Linked DNA regions of Stegostoma tigrinum. The protein of the gene in region 3 purifies or fractionates together with the protein of the main gene of each other region. This does not show direct contact. Links are inferred from orthologs where the notes say so. Each region holds a gene or a part of one and is shown on either strand. Other genes may lie near its edges.

Region 1 (6,949 bases), on a different chromosome or scaffold from region 3:
TGTTTTATGTGGGACTTTTGTCTGGAAATGCAAATAAACCACATCTACAGACTCCCCCACCCAGGTTAACTCCATCAATCATTACGGGTCGTGGCCATTACAGAAACTTGGGTAACTCCAGGACAGGGATGGTTGTTGGAAGTCCCGGGATTTAGATGCTTTGGAAGAAATAGGGAGTGACATTGCTAGTCAGGGGGAGTATAGCAGCTACTAAAAGGCAGTTCAAGAATGATGTGTCTACAGAGTCAGTTTGGGTTGAGGTCCAGAACAAGAAAGGAGCTGTCATTTTGTTGGGGTTTTTTTTATATAAACAGACCCCTAATAGTTGCAGAGAAGTGGAGGAGCGGATTGGGAGGCAGATACTGGAAAGGTGCAGAAGTCACAGGGTTACAAGTCATGGGTGACTTCAACTTTCCAAATATTGATTGGGAACATGTTAGTTGATAGTTGGGATGGAACGGATTGTGTCCAGTCCATTCAGGAAGGATTCCGGACACGGTAAGTACATACAGCAACATGAGGAGAGGACACTTTAGGTACGGTGCTTGGCAATGAACCGGGCCAAGTGTTAGACCTGTGGGTAGGAGAGCATTTTGGCGATAGCGATCATAACTCTGTTACTTTTACAACAGTCATGGAAAAGAATAGATACGTAAAGCAGGGTTAGGTTTACAATTGGGGCAAGGGTCATTAATTCTGTTAGGCAAGAACTGGGTAACATTAAAGGGGAACAGATGCTGTCAGGGAACAGCACTATTGAAATGCGGAGATTGTTTAAAGAAGGCAGACTGCTTGTGTGCTTGATGTGTTTGTCCCTAGCAGGCAGAGAAGATGCAGTCAAGAGGGGTCAAACGTCTGGTTAAGAGGAAGAAGGAGGCTTATATAAGGTTTAGGAAACAAGGAACGGAAAAGGCTCTAGAGGGATACAAGTTAGCCAGGAAGGGGCTGAAGGAAGGGCTTAGGAGAGCTAAAAGGGTGCATGAGAAAAACCTCAGCAGATAGGATCAAGGAAAACCCCAAGGCTTTTTACACATACGTGAGGAATAAGAGAATAACCAGAGATAGGGCAAGGCCGATCATGGACTGTAAAGGGCATTTGTGCACTGAGCCTTAAGAGATAGGAGAGGTCCTTCATGAATACTTTTCTTCAGTATTCACAACTGAGAGGAACCTAGTTGTAGAGGAAGACATTGTGAAACAGGCTGGTAGACTAGAGGAAGTCGATGTCAGTAAGGAAGATATGCTAGGAATTTTGAGGAAGTTGAAGACAGATAAGTCCCCCGGGTCTGATGGGATTCATCCAACGATTCTATGGGAAGTGAGGGACAAGATTGCAGGGCCTTTGGCAATGATCTTTTCGTCCTCACTGTCCATGGGTATACTGCCGGAAGACTGGAGAGAGACGAACATTGTTCCCCTGTTCTAAAAACAGAATAAGGATAACCCTGGAAATTACAGGCTAATTAGTCTTACTTCAATGGTGGGTAAATTATTGGAACGGACTCGGAGATAGGATTCACAATCACTCGGAAAGACAGTTTGATTTGTGATAGTCAGCATGGGTTTGTGAGGGGCAGATCATGCCTCACAAACCTTATTGAATTGTTTGAAGAGGTGACCAAACTCGTGGATGAAGGTGGAGCAGTGGATGTGGTATACATGGATTTAAGTAAGGCATTAGATAAGGATCCCCGTAATAGGCTCATGCAGAAGGTAAGGAGGCATGGGATAGGGGGTAATGTGGCAGATTGTATTCAGAACTGGCTGACCCTTAGAAGGCAAAGGGTGGTAGTGGATGGAAAACATTCAACATGGTGTTCAGTTACGAGTGGTGTACCACAAGGATCTATCCTGGGTCCTCTTCTATTTGTGGTTTTTGTAAATGATTTGGATGAAGGAGTGGAAGGGTGGATTAGTAAGTTCACGGACGATATGAAGGTGGGTTGTGTTGTGGATAGTGCGGAGGACTGTCCTCGGTTACAAAGGGGCATTAATAGGATGCAGAGCTGGGCTGAGAAGTGGCAGATGGAGTTTAACTCTGAAAAGTGAGAGATGACTCATTTTGGAAGGGCAAGCTTGAGAGCAGAATACAGGGTTAACAGAAAGGTTCTTGGCAGTGTGGAGGAGCAGAGGGATCTTGGGGTTCATGTCCACAGTTCCCTGAAAGCTGCCACCCAGGTGGATAGAGTTGTTAAGAAGGTGTACGGTGTGTGAGCTTTCAGTAATAGAGGGATTGAGAACCGTGAAGTTATGCTCCAGCTATACAAAAGCCTGGTTCAGCCACATCTGGAGTATGGTGTCCAGTTCTGGTTGCCTCATTACAGGGAAAGATGTGGAAGTGTTGGAAAAGGTGCAGAGGAGATTTGCCAGGATGTTGTCTGGAATGGAGGGAAGGTCTTACGAGGAAAGGTTGAGAGAGCTAGGGCTTTTCTCTTTAGAGCAACGAAGGATGAGAGGTGATTGACAGAGGTGTACAAAATGATCGGAGATATAGATAGAGTGGACAGCCAGACACTTTTTCCTAGGGTGGAGGTAGCTATGATGAGGGGACATAGATTTAAAGTGAGTGGAGGTAGATATAGGGGTGACATCAGAGGGAGGTTCTTTACTCAGAGAGTGGTCGGAGAGGGGAGTAGAGTCGGCCTCATTAGGGGCATTTAAGCGGCTATTAGACAGGTATATGGATGGAAGTATAAGGTAGGGGTGGAGGTTAGGTAGACCTTAGGATTAGGGTAAAAGTTGGGCACAACATCATGGGCCAAGGGCCTGTGCCATTTATATATAATCAAACCCCGACCCGCCCACCCACCCAACCCTTTCCATTCTCTCTTCCCTCCCCGTCCCGTTACCCGTGCTCCGCCACCTCCTGCTCCAGCTCGGCCCCTTTGCCCGCCAGGCCGCGCTGCTCCTGCCGCAGTTTGTTGAAGCCGGCCAGCACCTGCTCGGGTGTGGGGGCGGCGGCCTGGGCCTGTTGGGCCCGGCCTCCCGACAGCATCCCTACCGCGCCGGGTCCCTCCATCCCACCACTGGAGAGGGGCGGGGCCCTCCGGCCTCCTTTTATAGAGACGGTGGGTGGTGCCCGCGGATACCGCCTGACTGGGCTTTCACATCAACAGCGGGAGGGAAGTCAACCAGTTACATATAAAAAAAACGCAGCGTAAACAAAACCCCGCCGACACACCGAAATAAATCAATAAACCGTGAACCGGCTCTCAATTTCACATCCAACCCCTTTTCACGCCGATCATTTTGTGAAGCCGTCTTTTTTCTGCGCCCCCCCCCTCCAGAAAAAACTTCGGCGAAATTTTCCCTGAATGTTGTAGCATTGTGGGAATGGTGTTCGGGCCGAGTTTGTCCTCCCCCTCCCCTCAAAGGTGTGTCCATATCTGACAGCAGGCAGGTAGATAGGCGGCTAATTCAGCGTCAGGCCCCCTGAGCGGGTTTCCACGGACACTGGGCGCAGGGGCATGTTCTCTCTCAGCCTCCGCGTGACGTTGGCTGCTTGGTAACCGCCCCCTCCCATCATTCCCTATCCCATCATTCCCTATCCCCTTATCCCCCCACTTCCCATCATCCCCCCTCCCATCATCCCCTTCCCAACATTCCCCTCATCCCAATTCCCATCATTCCCCCGTCCCCTTCCCATCGTTCCCTATCCCCTTATCCCCCTACTTCCCATCATTCCCTATCCCCCCACTTCCCATCGTCCCCCTTCCCATCATTCCCTATCCCCTTATTCCCCCATCCCCTTCCCATCATTCCCTATCCCCTCATTCCCCCCATCCCCTTCCCAACATTCCCCCATCCCAATTCCCATCATCCCTGTGTGAAAGGGTTAGGATTAGGATTAGGATTAGGGTTGGGTAATCCCTGATCCCAGTAACCACCCCTTCCCCATTCTATCATCATGTGCCCCCAGTAACTGTCCCCCTTTTACCCCCTTTCCCATCATCCCCTTATCCCCAAACTTCCCATCATCCCCATCCCCCTATCACCCCCCCATCATCCTTATCCCCCATCCCCCCCTTTCCATCGTCACCCCCATCCCCTTATACCGCCTTCCCATCGTTCCCCCATCCCCTTATCCCGCCTTCCCATTGTCTCCCATCCCTCAACCCCATGTATCCCACTTCCCATCATCCCCCAACCCTTTATCCACTTCACTTCCCATCATCCCCCATATACCCCACTTCCCATCATCCCCCAACCCTTTATCCACTTCACTTCCTATCATGCCCCATATACCCCACTTCCCATCATCCCCCAACCGTTTATCCACTTCACTTCCCATCATCCCCCATCCCCTTAACCCAACTTCCCGTCACCCCCATCCCCTTATACTCCCTTCCCATCATCCCCCAGTGATCTCTCCTCCTGCATTACCCCAATTTCCTTTATCCTCCCCATCATCTGCCCTCCCACAGTAACCACCCCTCCCCTTTACCCTGATTCCCATCATCCCCTACCCCCTTTATCTCAGACCCGAGTAATCACCCCTCTCCCTTTACCCCCATTCCCATCAACCCCTACCCCCTTAATCCCTGATCCATTCCATCAGCATACACCCCCAGTAACTGCCCCCCCATTCCCATTATCCCTCTTCCCAACATCACCAACCCCACAGCCTACACCCCCATCCCTCACATCTCCTAGCCTTCACAAGCCCTCCCCAGCCACACATCCCCCTACCCCACACATGCAAAATCCCATCCCCCCAATCTCCATCCCTCACATCCCTCCCCTCCCCATCACTTATTCCCCCTCCGCTAACCCCCCTTCGCTTCCTGAGCTCTGCCTGTGTGCTTCCCAATGACCAGAGGACAGGGACACCCAGGACCCTTTTGTGCATCGAGCTTTCCTGGTCTATCAATGCTTAACTCAGACTCTGTGATTCTGGGGTTTGTTTAAACCCTTACCAAAGCTGACAATTTGCCCTTTCTCTGTGTGACGGTACTTGTATTTGTCCACTCGCTAAATTGCCCTGTAACCTCCTCACTGCTCACAGCCCCCACCCAGTTCTCACACTGGATTCCTTGCTGCAAATTACTGATGTTAGTTGTGGATAGTTCGGGGCCGGCTGCTCAGGCTGGCAGTATTGACCGTTCCCACTCTGCGAGCGACCCATTTGTTCCTACGCTCTTGTTTCCCTGTTGCTCTTTCTCGGGTAGATGAGGTGGTGGGTGTTGGTGAGGAAGGACTGGGCGCCGGAAGGAACGTGGGAGCGGCTCGCTGAGAGTGCCTGGGAGTCGAAAGTATCCCAGTTTGGCAACGTCTTTTCCCGTCTGCAAGTTTGCGGTTGATGTCTTTTCTTGAGGAATGTTGGAAGCTGGTTTGAAGGAGGTTCGAGGGAAGGTGTGTCTCTATGCGACACTCACTCTCTCTCTCTCTGTCTTGGACAGGTTGCGAGGGATGGCGACGCTGAAGAGGAGTTTGATTGGAGTGTGCCAGCTGAACAGCACGGGGGACAAGGAGAGAAATTTTGCTGAGTGTCAGGCGCTGGTGAGGGAGGGGGCAGAGCGAGGGGCCAAGTTCCTCTTCCTCCCTGAAGCCTTTGATTATGTTGCCTCATCTCAGGAGCAGACACTCAGCCAGGCAGAGACCCTGGAGGGCGATCTCATCCAACGGTATTTCCGCATGGCCAGGTACCCGTGCTCCCTCGCACCTCTCCCTTTCCTGCCTCTGACGCCACTCTTCCTTCTTACCCTCACTCTCTTCCCCCACGTTGACCACCTTCCAGTGTCTCTGAAGGTGTCTCTCCCCCGTCCATTTTCCTCTCAAGGAGGAAGTTTTCTCCTTCGCATGTTAGAGTTTTATTTTGTATCGCGCAATCACCAAGCTGCAGCAGCTTGCCCAGAAGTCAATCAGAAAATTGCTACAATGGTGAGCGTTGCAGTTGGTCCTGGTTCACAATCATTCAAAAGTCTGTCACTGATTATACAATAAATGGAAAAGTCCTGGGGAAAATTGATGAACAGAGAGATCTGGGTGTTCAGGTCCATCGTTCCCTGAAGGTGACAACGCAGGTCAATAGGGTGATCAAGAAGGCATATGGCATGCTTTCCTTCATTGGCCGGGGTATTGAGTACGAGTTGGCAGGTCATGTTGCAGTTGTATAGGACTGTGGTTCGGCCACATTTGGAGTACTGTGTACAGTTCTGGTCACCACATTATCAAAAGGATGTGGATGCTTTGGAGAGGGTGCAAGGGTGGTTCACCAGGATGTTGCCTGGTATGGAGGGTGCTCGCTATGAAGAGAGGTTGAATAGATTAGGATTATTTTCATTAGAAAGACGGAGATTGAGGGGGGACCTGATTGAGGTCTACAAAATCATGATGGGTATAGACAGGGTGGATAGCAAAAAGCTTTTTCCCAGAGTGGGGGACTCAATTACTAGGGGTCATGAGTTCAAAGTGAGAGGAGGAAAGTTTAAGGGAGATATGCCTGGAAAGTTCTTCACACAGAGGCTGGTGGGCGCCTGGAACACGTTGCCAGCCGAGGTGGTAGAGGTGGACACGATACCATCTTTTAAGATGTATCTAGACAGGTACATGGATGGGCAGAGAGCAAATGGACACAGACTGTTAGAAAATAGATGTCGGGTTAGACAGAGGATCTTGATCGGCGCAGGCTTGGAGGGCCGAAGGGCCTGTTTCTGTGCTGTAGGTTTCTTTGAGTAAACCTGCCCTGAGCACCCACACACGCTCACTCACTCACAAAGCAGAGGTGTTGAACACTCTCCGTCACTAGCGATAATGGGAACTGCAGACGCTGGGGAATCCGACATAACACGGTGTGAAGCTGGATGAACACAGCAGGCCAAGCAGCATCCCAGGAGCACAAAAGCTGACGTTTCGGGCCTAGACCCTTCAATCAGAGAGGCTGTCTGATGAAAGGTTTAGGCCCGAAACGTCAGCTTTCCTGCTCCTCTGATGCTGCTTGGCCTGCTGT
Region 2 (7,057 bases), on a different chromosome or scaffold from region 3:
GGAAACAATGTTTCCGCATCTACCTTAACAAGCCCCCTAAGAATCTTACATGTTTCAATAAGGTCACCACTCATTCCTCCAAATTCAAATAAGCACAGGCCTAACCTATTCAACCTGTCCCAGGCAACGTGGTCTCAGAAGGAGAGATTGAATTATCTAAATGTGATGAATTTTGAAACACAGTCTGTCAAGAGTAGCTTTGAGAGCGATTCAGAGTTATTTCTCTCTGCAGAGAGCAAAATTTTAAATGAGATTTTGTGCCCACAGTGTCACGAACATCTGGCTGGGCTGCTGGGAAATCCTTGGGATCTCTCGACCTGCTTGATCTGATATTGGATATGCTCTATGTGATGTTCAACCAATATTTGGCTGTAAACCTAAATATACTTCACATTAATTATGGCTGTCAAAGCTGCATGCACGTTATAGACTGTATTACTTTCCTAACCTTGTAAAGTCAAGTTTATTTTATTTGTTTAAAAACAGAATCCTACAGCATTAATCTTAGTGAGTTCTTGCAACTTTAAACTTCATGTACTTAGTGTTTAAAGTTACTGGTCCCTAACCTGGTAACATAAATTTGACAGTCTTGCCAAGGATCTATGACAGCTCTTAAGATAACTTAGAGAAGGAAGCTGCTATAGCGAGATCCGCACTTGTGTCTTTAGGTTAAAGTTGCCCCCTGCTACAAATATGAGTTTGGCGATAGCAAGAACTGCAGATGCCGGAGTCAGAGTCATCTGGAGGAACACAGCGGTTTGATCAAGGGTGTGAACCCGAAATGTCGACTTTCCTGCTCCACAGATGATATCTGACCTGGTGTGTTCCTCCAGCTCCACACTGTATTGACTACAAATATGAGTTTGTTTTGTTTAGGACTGTGTCTTTAATGCAAGGTAGAACAAAGCTGTTCTGACATCTCGATCCAAGATTGAGGGAGCAGCTAGTAAGCAAAAAGTCTGAAAGTGCTGGAACCATACTGGAATCATGCTTGGATGGAAAAGATCAAACTCACAGGGAGACAACATGAGGCTGGGGAACCACTTAGGGCTACAGAAAGCGTGTCTCCAGAAAAATTTAAAAAAAATTATTTCTCAGGGCTAAGAATAGAAACAAAATGTTGAAGAAATTCAAGTCTGACAGCCTCTGTGGGGAGCAAAATGGGAATATTTCAACTCTGTGAGACTTCTCTTCAGAAGTAGGCTGGAAAAAATGATTCAGAGATAGTAGATGCTGTAGAATCTGAGATAACAAGGTGTAGAGCTGGATGAACACAGCAGGCCAAGCAGCAGAGGAAAGGGAAGGCTGACGTTTCAGACCTAGACCCTTCAGAAAAAAAATGAAGACGGGTCTCGGCCCAAAACGTCAGCCTTCCTGCTCCTCTGCTGCTGCTTGGTCTGCTGTGTTCATCCAGCTCTACACCTTGTTATGTCTGGAAAAAATGATAGTTGTTATGTTGTTGGAAATGGAACAGGAAGAGCAAGCTGGGAATGCACACCAGAATAAAAGATGAAGAGAATGTGCATGGAGGGAGAGAAATGATACAGATGAAGTGTAGGTGTTATTGGTAATGGTAAGATGATCCAGGTATTTCCAACAATGTTTTTAGTTCAGCTCTCCAGCATCTGCAGTACTTTGCATTAACCCTGGTATCCCAGTATCACTTTGGATTGATCCTGGGAATATTTAATGCCTACATGAAGGAAAGTGTAAAGAATATGTTTGAACTGTGTTCTCTTCTTCAGTTTTGCTCAGAATAAGGGCTTTATGGGTTATGGTACATGTTGTCTTTCAAGAAAATGTATTAGTTAAGTGTCTTCACTCATTTGTTACAATATGTCTTAAAATGTGAAATCTCAGTGCATCATTCTCTGAGCAATGAACCGGAATTTTGAATTATCTTTTAAAATGGTGGCTCAGCGGTTAGCACTGCAGCCTCACAGCACCAGGGATCCAGGTTCGATTCCAGCCTCGGGCGACTGCCTGTGCGGAGTTTGCACATTCTCCCCGTGTCCGCGTGGGTTTCCTCCGGGTGTTCCGGTTTCCTCCCACAGTCCAAAGATGTGCAGGCTAGGTGGATTGGCTATGCTAAATTGCCTGTAGTGTTCAGATGTGCGTGGGTTACAGGGGGATGGATCTGGGTGGGATGCTGCAAGGGGCGGTGTGGACTTGTTGGGCCGAAGCGCGTGTTTCCACATCATAGAGAATCTAAGTAAAAGCTAAGGATCTCTGTAGGGAATGTTACACAAAACAACTGTGTAGAATAATGCAAGCTATCACGTGACCCATATTACCCAACCTCATCTTTCACGTGACAAGTTGTTTTAATTACCATACCTGCTGTAGAGTCAACATTTTTCCAAGCAGCAGCTCCACCTAACACATCATCGACTTCCTTAAGCTTGGGATATTTTCTGCTTGTTACCTTCAATACAAAGGAAAAATATCACTTGTTATTTTGCACACAAGCAAGTCAATAAAGTGAGTTCAAAGGAAAGTGCCCTGAACACAGTCATTATTGATTTCCAATTTACATTAGTCTCTAAAGTATCACATATTTCAGCCATTTCCCATTCATCCAGGTATAAACATTTTCAACAAGGTACAATCAGCTTAATAAATACGTTTGTGTATGAATAAAATATCCTCCACCACTCAATCTCCTTCCTCATCGATACCCCACCCCATTCCCTACATCCCACTCTCCCCTCCCCCTCTGCTCTCCATCCCCCCCCTTCTTTCTCTGATGAAGGGTCTAGGCCCGAAACGTCAGCTTTTGTGCTCCTGAGATGCTGTTTGGCCTGCTGTGTTCATCCAGCCTCACACCTTGTTATCCTAACCTTCTCCCATCCTGCTTTCCTTCATTTCCGACCCCCTTCTCCGGCCCCGGCCCCTAAGTCTCGTCCCCCACCTTCCGGGTGACGTTGTGAACGTACGGACAGGTGTTACACGCGAAACGATAACATTTCTGTCCCTCCTCCACAATCAGGACGTTCCCGCAGGTCGGGCAAAAGAGCAGCATCGCCGGAACCGGAAACAGAAACACTGCCCAGAGCCTTCTCACCGTGCGCCCGGATTTTGGTTCCGGGGGTGGGGGAAGGGCTGGTGCGGACCACGAGGCCTCGGAGAGAGGGAGGAACAGAGACAGTGCGTGCTCGTGTCAGGATCAGGGTCTGGAGTCCGTTTGAACAAACTCTGTCCGGCTGGGGTCGAGGGGAGGGTGTGCAGGCACAAGGAGGGACAGAGATAGAGACAGAAACAGCACAGACAAAAACACAGAGAGACAGAAACAGAGAGGGGGAGAGAGAGAGAGAGACAGAAACAGACAGCAACACAGAGAGAGAGACAGAAACAGAGAGGGGGAGAGAGAGACAGAAACAGAGAGGGGGAGAGAGAGAGAGACAGAAACAGAGAGGGGGGGGAGAGAGAGAGAGAGACAGAAACAGAGAGGGGGGGGGGAGAGAGAGAGACAGAAACAGAGAGGGGGAGAGAGAGAGAGAGAGAGACAGAAACAGAGAGGGGGAGAGAGAGAGAGACAGAAACAGAGAGGGGGAGAGAGAGAGAGAGACAGAAACAGAGAGGGGGAGAGAGAGAGAGAGAGACAGAAACAGAGAGGGGGAGAGAGAGAGAGAGAGACAGAAACAGAGAGGGGGAGAGAGAGAGAGAGAGACAGAAACAGAGAGGGGGAGAGAGAGAGAGAGAGACAGAAACAGAGAGGGGGAGAGAGAGAGAGAGAGACAGAAACAGAGAGGGGGAGAGAGAGAGAGAGACAGAAACAGAGAGGGGGAGAGAGAGAGAGAGACAGAAACAGAGAGGGGGAGAGAGAGACAGAAACAGACACAGACAGCAACACAGAGAGAGAGACAGAAACAGAGAGGGGGAGAGAGAGAGAGAGACAGAAACAGAGAGGGGGAGAGAGAGAGACAGAAACAGAGAGGGGGAGAGAGAGACAGAAACAGAGAGGGGGAGAGAGAGACAGAAACAGAGAGGGGGAGAGAGAGACAGAAACAGAGACAGACAGCAACACAGAGAGAGACAGAAACACAGAGAGGGAGAGAGAGACAGAAACATACAGACAGAAACAGAGAGGGGGAGAGAGAGAGAGAGAGACAGAAACAGAAACACAGAGAGGGAGAGAGACAGAAACAGAGAGGGGGAGAGAGAGACAGAAACAGAGAGGGGGAGAGAGAGAGAGAGAGAGACAGAAACAGAGAGGGGGGGGGAGAGAGAGAGAGACAGAAACAGAGAGGGGGGGGGAGAGAGAGAGAGACAGAAACAGAGAGGGGGGGGAGAGAGAGAGAGACAGAAACAGAGAGGGGGAGAGAGAGAGAGAGACAGAAACAGAGAGGGGGAGAGAGAGAGAGACAGAAACAGAGAGGGGGAGAGAGAGAGAGACAGAAACAGAGAGGGGGAGAGAGAGAGAGAGACAGAAACAGAGGGGGAGAGAGAGAGAGAGACAGAAACAGAGAGGGGGAGAGAGAGAGAGAGACAGAAACAGAGAGGGGGAGAGAGAGAGAGAGACAGAAACAGAGAGGGGGAGAGAGAGACAGAAACAGACACAGACAGCAACACAGAGAGAGAGACAGAAACAGAGAGGGGGAGAGAGAGAGAGAGACAGAAACAGAGAGGGGGAGAGAGAGACAGAAACAGACACAGACAGCAACACAGAGAGAGACAGAAACACAGAGAGGGAGAGAGACAGAAACATACAGACAGAAACAGAGAGGGGGAGAGAGAGACAGAAACAGAAACACAGAGAGGGAGAGAGACAGAAACAGAGAGGGGGAGAGAGAGAGAGAGACAGAAACAGAGAGGGGGAGAGAGAGAGAGAAACAGACACAGACAGAAACACAGAGAGGGAGAGAGAGACAGAAACACAGAGAGAGAGAGACAGAAACAGACAGACAAACAGAGAGGGGGGAGAGAGAGACAGACACAGACCGTAACACAGAGAGAGAGAGAGAGACAGAAACAGACAGACACAGACAGCAACACAGAGAGAGAGAGACAGAAACAGACACAGACAGCAACACACAGAGAGAGAAACAGACACAGACAGAAACAGAGAGGGGGAGAGAGAGAGAGAAACAGAAACAGACAGCAACACAGAGAGGGAGAGAGAGACAGAAACAGCTCAGACAAAAACACAGAGGGAGAGAGAGACAGAAACAGACAGACAAACACAGAGAGGGGGGAGAGAGAGACAGAAACAGCTCAGACAAAAACACAGAGACAGAGACAGACAGCAACAGAGAGAGAGAGAATCAGAGAGAGAGAGAGTCAGAGATTAGGACAGAGAGCCAGACAGTGGGATGGATGGGGACAGACAGAAAGAGAAAAACAAGGATTGAAAGGGAGAGAAACAACAGCCACAGCAATTAACGTGGGAGAGACTATAGGAATGTGGTGTCATGGATTTCAGAGATTAAAAGAACAGACAGTAAATAAATCAACTCATCACAGCAGGAAGTGAGAAACAGGGAGAATTCAGGTCCTACTGTACACCGTGGATCAGTTTACAGTCAGAATGAAGGAGACTGCAGAATGACTAAGTTCAAAACCACAAATTAGAGCAAGTATTTTGGAAGAAACTACCTGTTTTCCAAGTGAGGCAGTTCCCGATCATTAAGTACTAAGGAATCATCTTATCCAAAACTCTTGACTGGATAGATCATCAGTTTCGCAGAATAGTTTATTTCCCAAGTTTTCCTCCATAGCCCTAAATACATTCTGCCATGGTGGTGGTGGATGCAAATACAATAGGGGCATTTAAGGGGATTTTAGATAAGCACGTATGTAAGAAAGGAATGGATGGATGTGGACCATGGGCAGATGGAAGGGATTAGCTTAACTTGGTGTCATGGCCGGCACAACATTGTGAGCTAAAGGGGCCGTTCCTATGCTGTACTGTTTTATGTTCTATATCTCCCGTTCCTCCCCCATCCCACACACACTACCTCTTTTCCCCCTCCATGCCCTATCATATCTCCTGTGTCCACTCCACTGTGATTCAGTACTGAGCTAGTTAGCAATTGGCAAGATTGACAAGTGTTTTAAATGCTAATGAGGCTAATATAATAAGCATGGAGGCTTTGAATATCTATTGTGAAAAAGAACTGAACTCACAGAATGGTTACAGCACAGAGGGTGGCCATGTTTGTATTGGCTCTCCAAAGTTGCAGTTTTCCCAGTGCTATTCCCTTACCTTCTCTCCATAACTCTGCACGTTCTTTTCCAGATAATAATCCAATTCTCATTTAAATTCCACTGAAAGATTCACTGAGGATGACTGAAGACATTAAGAAGGAACCACTTTCCACCAACATTAAGCAGGAAGAAAATTTTGCCGTAGTCAATCAAGAAAAAGCTGTAGAAGAGGAGGAAGAGTTATCGCATGCAGAAATCCTGGACCTATTTCAGGAAGGTCTGGCCATGATTGTCCAGGATCCATTGCTGTGTGATCTTCCAGTTCAGGTTTGTGGTTTATTTTAATCATAAGCTTTACACATTCACAATAATTACATTTTTATCAGTGATGATGTTTGATATCAAGAATGCGAATACTGTTTGATCAATGGAAATCTTTTTCTGGTCTTTTAATTGTACACAGAATGTGGCATTGCTGACTAGACCCAACATTTATTTCCCATCCCTAATTGCCGAGTGGGCAGTTGACAGTCAGCCACATCACTGTGAATCTCATGTAGGCCGGACCACATAGCATAGAGTCGTAGAGATGTGCAGCATGGAAACAGACCCTTCGGCCTGACTTCTGTATGCCAACCATATATCCTAAATTAATCTAGTCCCATTTGCCAGCATTTGGCCCATATCCCTCTAAACCCTTCTTATTCATGTACCCATCGAGATCCCACTTCAATATTGTAATTGAACCAGCCTCCACCACTTCCTCTGGCAGCTCGTTCCATACATTCTGTATGACAAAGTTTCCCTTCAAGTCTTTTTTAAATCTTTCACCTCTCACCTTAAACCTCTAGTTTTGGATTCCTGTACCCTGGGAAAAAGACCTTGGCTAATCACTCTATCTATGCCCCTC
Region 3 (7,530 bases):
TCTACCTTATTTTCAGACTCAGGTGAATAGAAAGCACAAACAAGGTTTCTCTACATAACAAGAATGACCATTTATGACAAGTAATTACTCTCTAACTACATGCAGTTATAACAATTGCATTATAAATACTACAATTTAAAACTTCCTCCCAGACATACACATAGGAAAAATAGATTAAGAGTGCGGGAAAGCTTGAAGCCAGTTCAGGTATTTATTCATGGGTTGCTCAGATGATCTTTATGATTCTCTGTTGTTCAGAATGTTACTGTTCAGTTGCCTTTCTCTGAAAATTCCAACAGTTTGTAAGAGACAAAGTGGCTGTTTCACTTATGAAAGGTTTCTGACACATCAGTTAAAAGTCACAGCTTAAGACAACTGCTGACGTAAAGATGAACCGACATTTTTTCCCCAAGTTTAAAATGGGTTTTGACTGCAGAGAACAGAGAGACGGCCCCTGAGCTAACGGAGATCAGAACATTTCTCTCTATCTTGTTCCCAGCCTGAAGCTATTCAGTTATCTTAGAACTAATTAGTGTTGGCAAACAAAAGGCTTGTGTGATCGATAACTGGTCATTAGTCCATAGACTAAGCAAATTCTTGTTGACACCCAGGTGAATCTGTACACAGAACCGCTCAGCAATTCATCTGCAATCACTTCAATTACTACTTGTTCAAAGAGCTATTTACGTTGCTTGCCATAGATGTCAGGTCACCTGCTTTCCACAACATGCACAAATCCTTTGAAGCAGTGATTTTAAAGTGATTCTCAGCTCCGTTTACAGTTTTAACAGCACCAAATTAAACAGACATGGTCTTTTCACACTCATGACCACTTCTCAACAGCCAAGCCTCCATTGGAAGAATGGGTTCTCTCTGCCAAACTCATTTTAAACACCTTGATCAGATCATCCCTTATTTTCCAAACACATGGAAATACAAGCATATTCAAGCAATCCTCTCAACTTTCAACTAATAGCATTCTGAAGAATCTCCATTTAAGCAGGATGAAGAGGTCGCAGTATGCTCAACGCCCCTCTCCCAAACACCGGCCCAGTTACATTTGCCACTGAACTCCGAAAGCAACTCTGCGACACACCAACTTGTGCTGCAAGTTTAACAAAGTGTGGAACTGGATGAACACAGCAGCCCAAGCTGATGTTTTGGGCCTAGATCCTTCATCAGAGAGGGGTGTGGGGAGTCAGCTTTTGTGCTCCTGAGATGCTGCTTGGCCTGCTGTGTTCATCCAGCTCCACACTTTGTTATCTTGGATTCTCCAGGATCTGCAGTTCCCATTATCTCTTGCATTGCAAGTTTGATCTGTCACCACCTGTAGGCTGAGTGCAGAGTTGCTCATTGTCATAAGCTTCACAGAACAAATTAAACATTTCAACTGCTATCATTCTCCTCACCAAAACATGCAAATGAGGAAAAACTCTGCTACCTTCAGAAATGCAGGAAGCAGCTTCCATTTTTCCTATTAGAAAAGCAGAAAACAAAGATCAGTATTTTTACATTGAATACATAACTCAACAAGCTGTTCAGCACAACCAAATATCAGCATATTTGCTCTGATCAAACCTCCTACCATCTCTTCTCATCTAAATCTGCTATCAGAACACTCTTAATCCCTCTTGCTCATGTTTATTCAGTTCCCCCAAAAATACATATATACCAGAGATAGTAGGAACTGCAGATGCTGGAGAATCTGAGATAACAAACTGTCCTGCTCCTATGATGCCTGCTGTGTTCATCCAGCTCTACACCTTGTTATCTATAATACATCTATACCATTTGTTTTACCTCACCCCATCGTCTCCAGTTCCAATTTTTCATCACTCTCTCTAAATGAGGAGTTTTGTCATATTTTCCTCTCATGTTTGTCTGGATCTATATCCAGAGTCTGGAACAATGAGAGGTAGAACTTATTGCAGCAAATAAAATTCGGAGGGTACCTGTCTGGGTGGATGCTGCAAGGATATTTCCCCTCATGTGGGAATCTCGAATGAGGGGGTCACAGTTAAAGATTAAAAGTCTCCAACGTAAGATAGTGATGAGAAGTTTGACCATCCATCACCACACAAACACAGGGATACTAATCTGGGGAATTATCCTCGAGAGAGCAGAGGACCTTTGAATGTACTTAAGGCTGAGTCAGACAGATTTCCCATTGACCATAGAGTCTAGTGCAATGTGGGACAGACAGGAAAGGAGTTGAGGGGGATACAGTCAAGTCATGAACTTATTGAATGCCGCACAGACTTTTTTGGGAGGGCTGGGGGTGAGGTTGATGAATAACTTATTCCTTCTCCTCATTCTTCTGTTCCCATCTTCTGTATCTACTAATACATTTTTGGTGACTACCTAATATCAAAGGCTGAGATAACAAGGTGTAGAGCTGGATGAACACAGCAGGCCATGCTACTTGGCCTGCTGTGTTCATTCAGCTCTACACCTCGTTATCTCGGATTCTCCAAAATCTACAGTTGTTATTATCTCTTATATCGAAGGCTGCTGGTTACAGTCTTCCCCACGAGATGAAACATTCTCTCTGTATCGACTTCATCAAGACATTTCATAAAGTTAAGAGGACCCCAATAAATCGCTCCCCAGTCTAAAAAACAGCCCAGGCTTTCACTCCATTTCTGATATGAATTCACACAAATTTCAAGCATCATCTCTCTAAATGTGCTCCCCACCCTCTACACAGCTTTCTAGACACTTTCAAACCAACCTGTTCAGAGATGCTGTTACACATTTTGGGAGCTGAACACGGGGCTCCTGTGTCAGAGGCAGGGAAGCTACCTGTGCAGCAAGAGAGACCTAAGCGCTGCCCCCTCACCCACGTCCCACAACCTCTCCCTGTGTAATCTCCCCCACCCGCTTTTGCCTCACCTCCACCTCCCGGACCGGTGCCGCCAGCGACTCCGGATCCAAATCCCCGAACTCAGCCGCTAGCGTCTCCATGTCCACCTCGTGGTCCGCCGCTAATCCCCGTCCGGACGGAACCCGCCTCCTGGAAAGAAAGGTGTCCGGCCGGAACTCCGCGGCGCCGCTGAAAGATTCCGGCCCTTTTGCCCCGCCCACCGGCTGCTCTGAGCATGAGCTCGCCCTGGCCCTGGCATCGCAGTAAAGCTGCTGCTGGTGCTTGGGGCTTCAGTGTTGCTGGGGTATCTGATAAATTAGAATTGCTCACTTCAAATCATTCATCACTCTTCTCGTTATTACACATCCTGGTATTTTCCTCTTCTTTTCCCCCACAGTCCCCTCCTATCTCATTGTCAGGACTTCAGTCTTTTAAAATTGGGTTGAAGGAATTGTCAGAAAGTGAAACCAGGATCCTCTGACGACATCCTCCATCACAACACCTAACAGATTCTCTTCTGTCCGTCTTCCCTGGACTGACCGATCCCCTCCCCACCTACACCCTCTCCACCTATCTTCTTTACTCTCCATCTTCGGTCCGCCTCCCCCTCTCTCCCTATTTATTCCAGTTCCCTCCCCCCATCCCCCTCTCTGATGAAGGGTCTAGGCCCGAAACGTCAGCTTTTGTGCTCCTGAGATGCTGCTTGGCCTGCTGTGTTCATCCAGCCTCACATTTTATTATCTTGGAATCTCCAGCATCTGCAGTTCCCATTATCTCTGATTCTCTTTTGCAGTTTTGCAGCTGGAGCACTTGCTTTGTTTTTATCATTATGCTAGCCAGCCACAAGTGGCCATAAATTTTGTGCCTTTTCTTCTTTTAAAAATTGTGAATAGGAGCAAAGCGAACACAAACAAGGAAGTTATGTTGAATTTGACCATAATTCTGCCTCAACTGGAGGGTTGTGCCCAGTTCTGGGGACCACACTTTGGGAAGGATGTGAATGCATTGGCAGGAAGCACAGAAATACTTCAAGAGAATAGTTCCAAAGATAGGAGCTTCAGGTCTGAAGATAGAACTGGGGAAGCTGGAATGATTTTCCCAACAAAAGGAGGCAAAGAGGTGATCTGACTGAATCAAATTTTCAAAATCATTAGGAACCTGGACAGAGCGAATAGGGAGAAACGCTTTCCACTCAGAATCAGGAAAACACGGATTTAAAGTGATTAGTAAAAGAAGCAAAAAATTATGCAAGGAAAATCCTTTGTGTACCGTGAGTGATTAGGATCGGGAATGCATAATCTGAGAGTGTGGAGGTGACAGCTTCACTCCAGCCTTTCAAAACAGAATGAGATTTGTGTCAGCAGATGAAGAATGTGCACGGTCAGGTGGGAGAAGGTGTGAGAACAGCACTCGGTGAATTGTACTTTTACTGCACCAATACAATCACGATTGGCCAAACAGCCTCCTTCAGCACTGTAACAAGTCTGTGATTGTCTGCTTTTGACCCATCAGCAATGAAGAAATGGCAAATTAAACACTGCTTCCCCAACCAAAATATCTTTGAAAAAATTACAAACTCCTGAGTAAAATCAGTGTATAAAAGCCAGAAGGTTATAGTTAAGTATTTGTAAAACACGATTCCTTGCCTCAAATGGAGTATTATATTCCTTCTTGGCACATCATTGTCACCATTTAAGTGAATCAATTGGAGAAGCTGTATTTGGTATTTGTGAAGAAGGATCTGCTCAAAATTGTCAGAGGTCTAGACTCAATGAATAGGGGAAAATGGCTCCCATTGGCAGAAGCATTGAAAACAAGAGGACATCACTGTGAGGTGGTCAGCAAAAGTGACACAAGTGAAAGGAAGAAAAACATTTATGCAATGAGTGGTTAGGACCAGTAAAAAACTGCCAGAGAGTGTGATAGTGAAAGGTCCCATCGTGGCTTTCAAAAGAAAGTTGGAGAATAACCTGAAAATTGATAAATTTCTGGACTACAAGGTCCTTCTGGACAGAAGGGTGGAAATGTACACGCTGTGAGAGCTGGAATGACAACATGCCAAATGGCATCTATTCTATGGTCTATGAAAAGTTGCAGAATGCCAGTGCTGCGGTGTCACCTGCCCCGACAGCCCCGGACGCACCTGTTCTCTCTGTCACTGGTGCAGGCATCAGATCAGTCTGCCTGAGAGCAAACCCAAGGAAAGTGACTGGCCCAGTCGGAGTCCCCAGCTGTGCACTTAGATCCTATGCTGACCAGCTTACAGAAGTACTCACTGACATCTTCAACCTCTCAGTGCTAAGATCTGAAGTCCCTACCTGCTCCAAGAAGACCGTCATCATCCCCAAACCAAAGAAAACACAGACAATGTGTCTCTACATGCAGCTACCTCCCCTTAGCTCTGTCCTCCATGATCATGAAGTGTTTGAAGAGGTTGGTCATGGCCCACATTAAGTCTAGCCTCCCAACCTGTCTTGATGCCCTGCAATTTGCCTACCGGCAAAACAAGTCTACAACACACACCATTTCTCGAGCTGTACTCTCATCCCTGGAACATCTGGATAACTACGTCAGGCTCCTGCTCATCCAGTACAGTTCCACCTTCAACACCATAATCCCTATCAAGATTAATCTCAAAACTCCGGCAGCTTAGGAAATTCACCAACTTTTAGAGATGCACCATAGAAGGCATTCTATCTGGGTGTGTAATGCCCTGGTACAGCAACTGCTCTGCCCAGGGCAATAAGAGATTACACAAAGTTGTGTGCATTGCTCAGGCCATCGCGGAAGCCAACCTGCCATCCATGAACTCCATTTGTACTTCTCTTTGCTATGGTAAAGCTGCCAACATCATTAAAGACTCCGCCACCCTGATAATACTCTCTTCCAACCTCTTCCACCAAGTAAAAGATTCAGAACTTTAATGCAGGCACTAACAGTTTCAAGAACAGCTTCTTCCCTGCTGTTATCAGACTGTTGAATGGACCTCTCTAATTTAAAATCTAATGTTGATCTTGCTTTGTACACCTCCTGTGCAGCCATAACCTTGTATACCTTGCTGTCAAGGCACCCTATGATCTGTGTGATAATAAAATGTGAGGCTGGATGAACACAGCAGGCCAAGCAGCATCTCAGGAGCACAAAAGCTGACGTTTCGGGCCTAGACCCTTCATCAGAGCCGAAACGTCAGCTTTTGTGCTCCTGAGATGCTGCTTGGCCTGCTGTGTTCATCCAGCCTCACATTTTATTATCTTGGAGTCTCCAGCATCTGCAGTTCCCATTATCTCTGATACTATGATCTGTGTGTCCTTGTTTGCTATGATCTACGTATACTGCTCACAAAACAAAACTTTTCACTGTACTTAGGGACATGTGACAACAACAAATCAAATCAAATTAAATCAGTTGAAATTGGCAGCTCCTAAATCAACCAAACATGGTATGCAAGAAGAAAACGTTCTGTCCACTGGAGGGTCAGCACTGAGGGAGCTGCACACTGTCATAGGGTCAGCACTGAGGGAGCACCACACAGTCAGAGGGTCAGCACTGAGGGAGCTCCACACTATCATAGGGTCAGGATTGAGGGAGCACTGCAACATCAGAGGGTCAGCTTTGAGGGAATTCCACATTGTTAGATGGTCAGCACTGAGGGAGCACCGCAATGTCAGACGTTCAGTAGTGAAGGACCATCAATACTGAACAAGCAGTCCATTGTAAGATGGACAGTGCTGGGAGAGTTCCACACTATTGGAGAGTCAGAGCTGAGGGAGTGCTACACTGTGGGTGGGATCAGATCAAAGGGAGTGGGATACTTTCAGATGGTCAGTGTCGAGGGGAGGTTGGACTGGGGAAGTGCTGCACTGTTGGAGGGTGAAGAACGAGTAAGCACTGTGCTGTGCTGTTGGAAGTGCCGTTTCTTTTGGCTGGGATATTGGACCAAAACATAACTTGCCCATCCTTCTGGGCATCCATCTGAGAAACTCATTCAAGCAGGAAAGCATCTTATTGCCGTGGCCAAAATTCCCAATTGATTCCACCAACAATACATGAACTGGTTAGTCATCACATTCACAGTTGTTGGATCGTGCTGCATGTAAATTGGCTGCACCATTTGTCTATATAATTGTCAGCAGTTCGGCATTGTTTGTGCTGGACTCTGAGCTGAGTCAGGTTGAGAGACTGAGCCACAACCTGAGGCAAATGTACCACTTCAGATCGTTCATGCCTGGTAATCTTGAAATAATTGCATTGATATAAAATAAACCAAGACTCAATTTTCCATAATGCACTTTATTTCAAGCTTATTAAAAAGGTGAACATGCATTGCACAAACTGAACTATAACTACTTGCAAAAGAATAAACTTTAATCAAATATGTATTCCACGGTTTTGCTGAACTTTGAGAAATTAAGGCAAGGTTTTAACAAGCAGCACTTGATTAGAAATAATTCCAGTATTGTTTACATTTGGAGGGAGAATGGAATAGAAATTTCAAATCAGCAAACTGTGTTTACCAACATGTAACTCATTTCAGTATTCCCTCATGTTGCTCAGGATTTAATGTATTTCCGATTAATGCTCGACTTCAAACAGAGTAAGCTGCAGAACACAGCAGGCAGGTTAAGGATTTGGTTGGGATAAAAGTACAAATTCTCATAAAATCAACT

Evidence for each region.
Region 1: the proteins of polr3b (region 3) and pfdn2 purify together in Homo sapiens (affinity purification with mass spectrometry; 3 studies listed by BioGRID and IntAct, with this or other methods). This does not show direct contact. The link is inferred for Stegostoma tigrinum from reciprocal best matches to the Homo sapiens genes POLR3B and PFDN2.
Region 2: the proteins of polr3b (region 3) and polr3k purify together in Homo sapiens (affinity purification with mass spectrometry; 6 studies listed by BioGRID and IntAct, with this or other methods). This does not show direct contact. The link is inferred for Stegostoma tigrinum from reciprocal best matches to the Homo sapiens genes POLR3B and POLR3K.

What each region holds. Positions count from the first base shown.
Region 1 is NC_081399.1:9,851,180-9,858,128, reverse strand, and holds the start of pfdn2 (prefoldin subunit 2), read right to left. Parts: upstream 3,047-6,949; 5' UTR 3,020-3,046; coding exon 2,850-3,019; intron 1-2,849. Other genes in the region: nit1 (deaminated glutathione amidase), read left to right, coding at 4,810-4,898, 5,400-5,642. UniProt on the Homo sapiens protein: Binds specifically to cytosolic chaperonin (c-CPN) and transfers target proteins to it. Binds to nascent polypeptide chain and promotes folding in an environment in which there are many competing pathways for nonnative proteins.
Region 2 is NC_081376.1:5,099,529-5,106,585, reverse strand, and holds the start of polr3k (DNA-directed RNA polymerase III subunit RPC10), read right to left. Parts: upstream 3,047-7,057; 5' UTR 3,023-3,046; coding exon 2,912-3,022; intron 2,426-2,911; coding exon 2,338-2,425; intron 1-2,337. Other genes in the region: snrnp25 (U11/U12 small nuclear ribonucleoprotein 25 kDa protein), read left to right, coding at 6,286-6,474. UniProt on the Homo sapiens protein: Core component of RNA polymerase III (Pol III) which synthesizes small non-coding RNAs using the four ribonucleoside triphosphates as substrates. Can mediate Pol I proofreading of the nascent RNA transcript.
Region 3 is NC_081371.1:48,529,192-48,536,721, forward strand, and holds the start of polr3b (DNA-directed RNA polymerase III subunit RPC2), read right to left. Parts: upstream 3,001-7,530; 5' UTR 2,965-3,000; coding exon 2,893-2,964; intron 1,475-2,892; coding exon 1,442-1,474; coding exon of another isoform or gene 1,410-1,441; intron 1-1,409. UniProt on the Homo sapiens protein: Catalytic core component of RNA polymerase III (Pol III), a DNA-dependent RNA polymerase which synthesizes small non-coding RNAs using the four ribonucleoside triphosphates as substrates.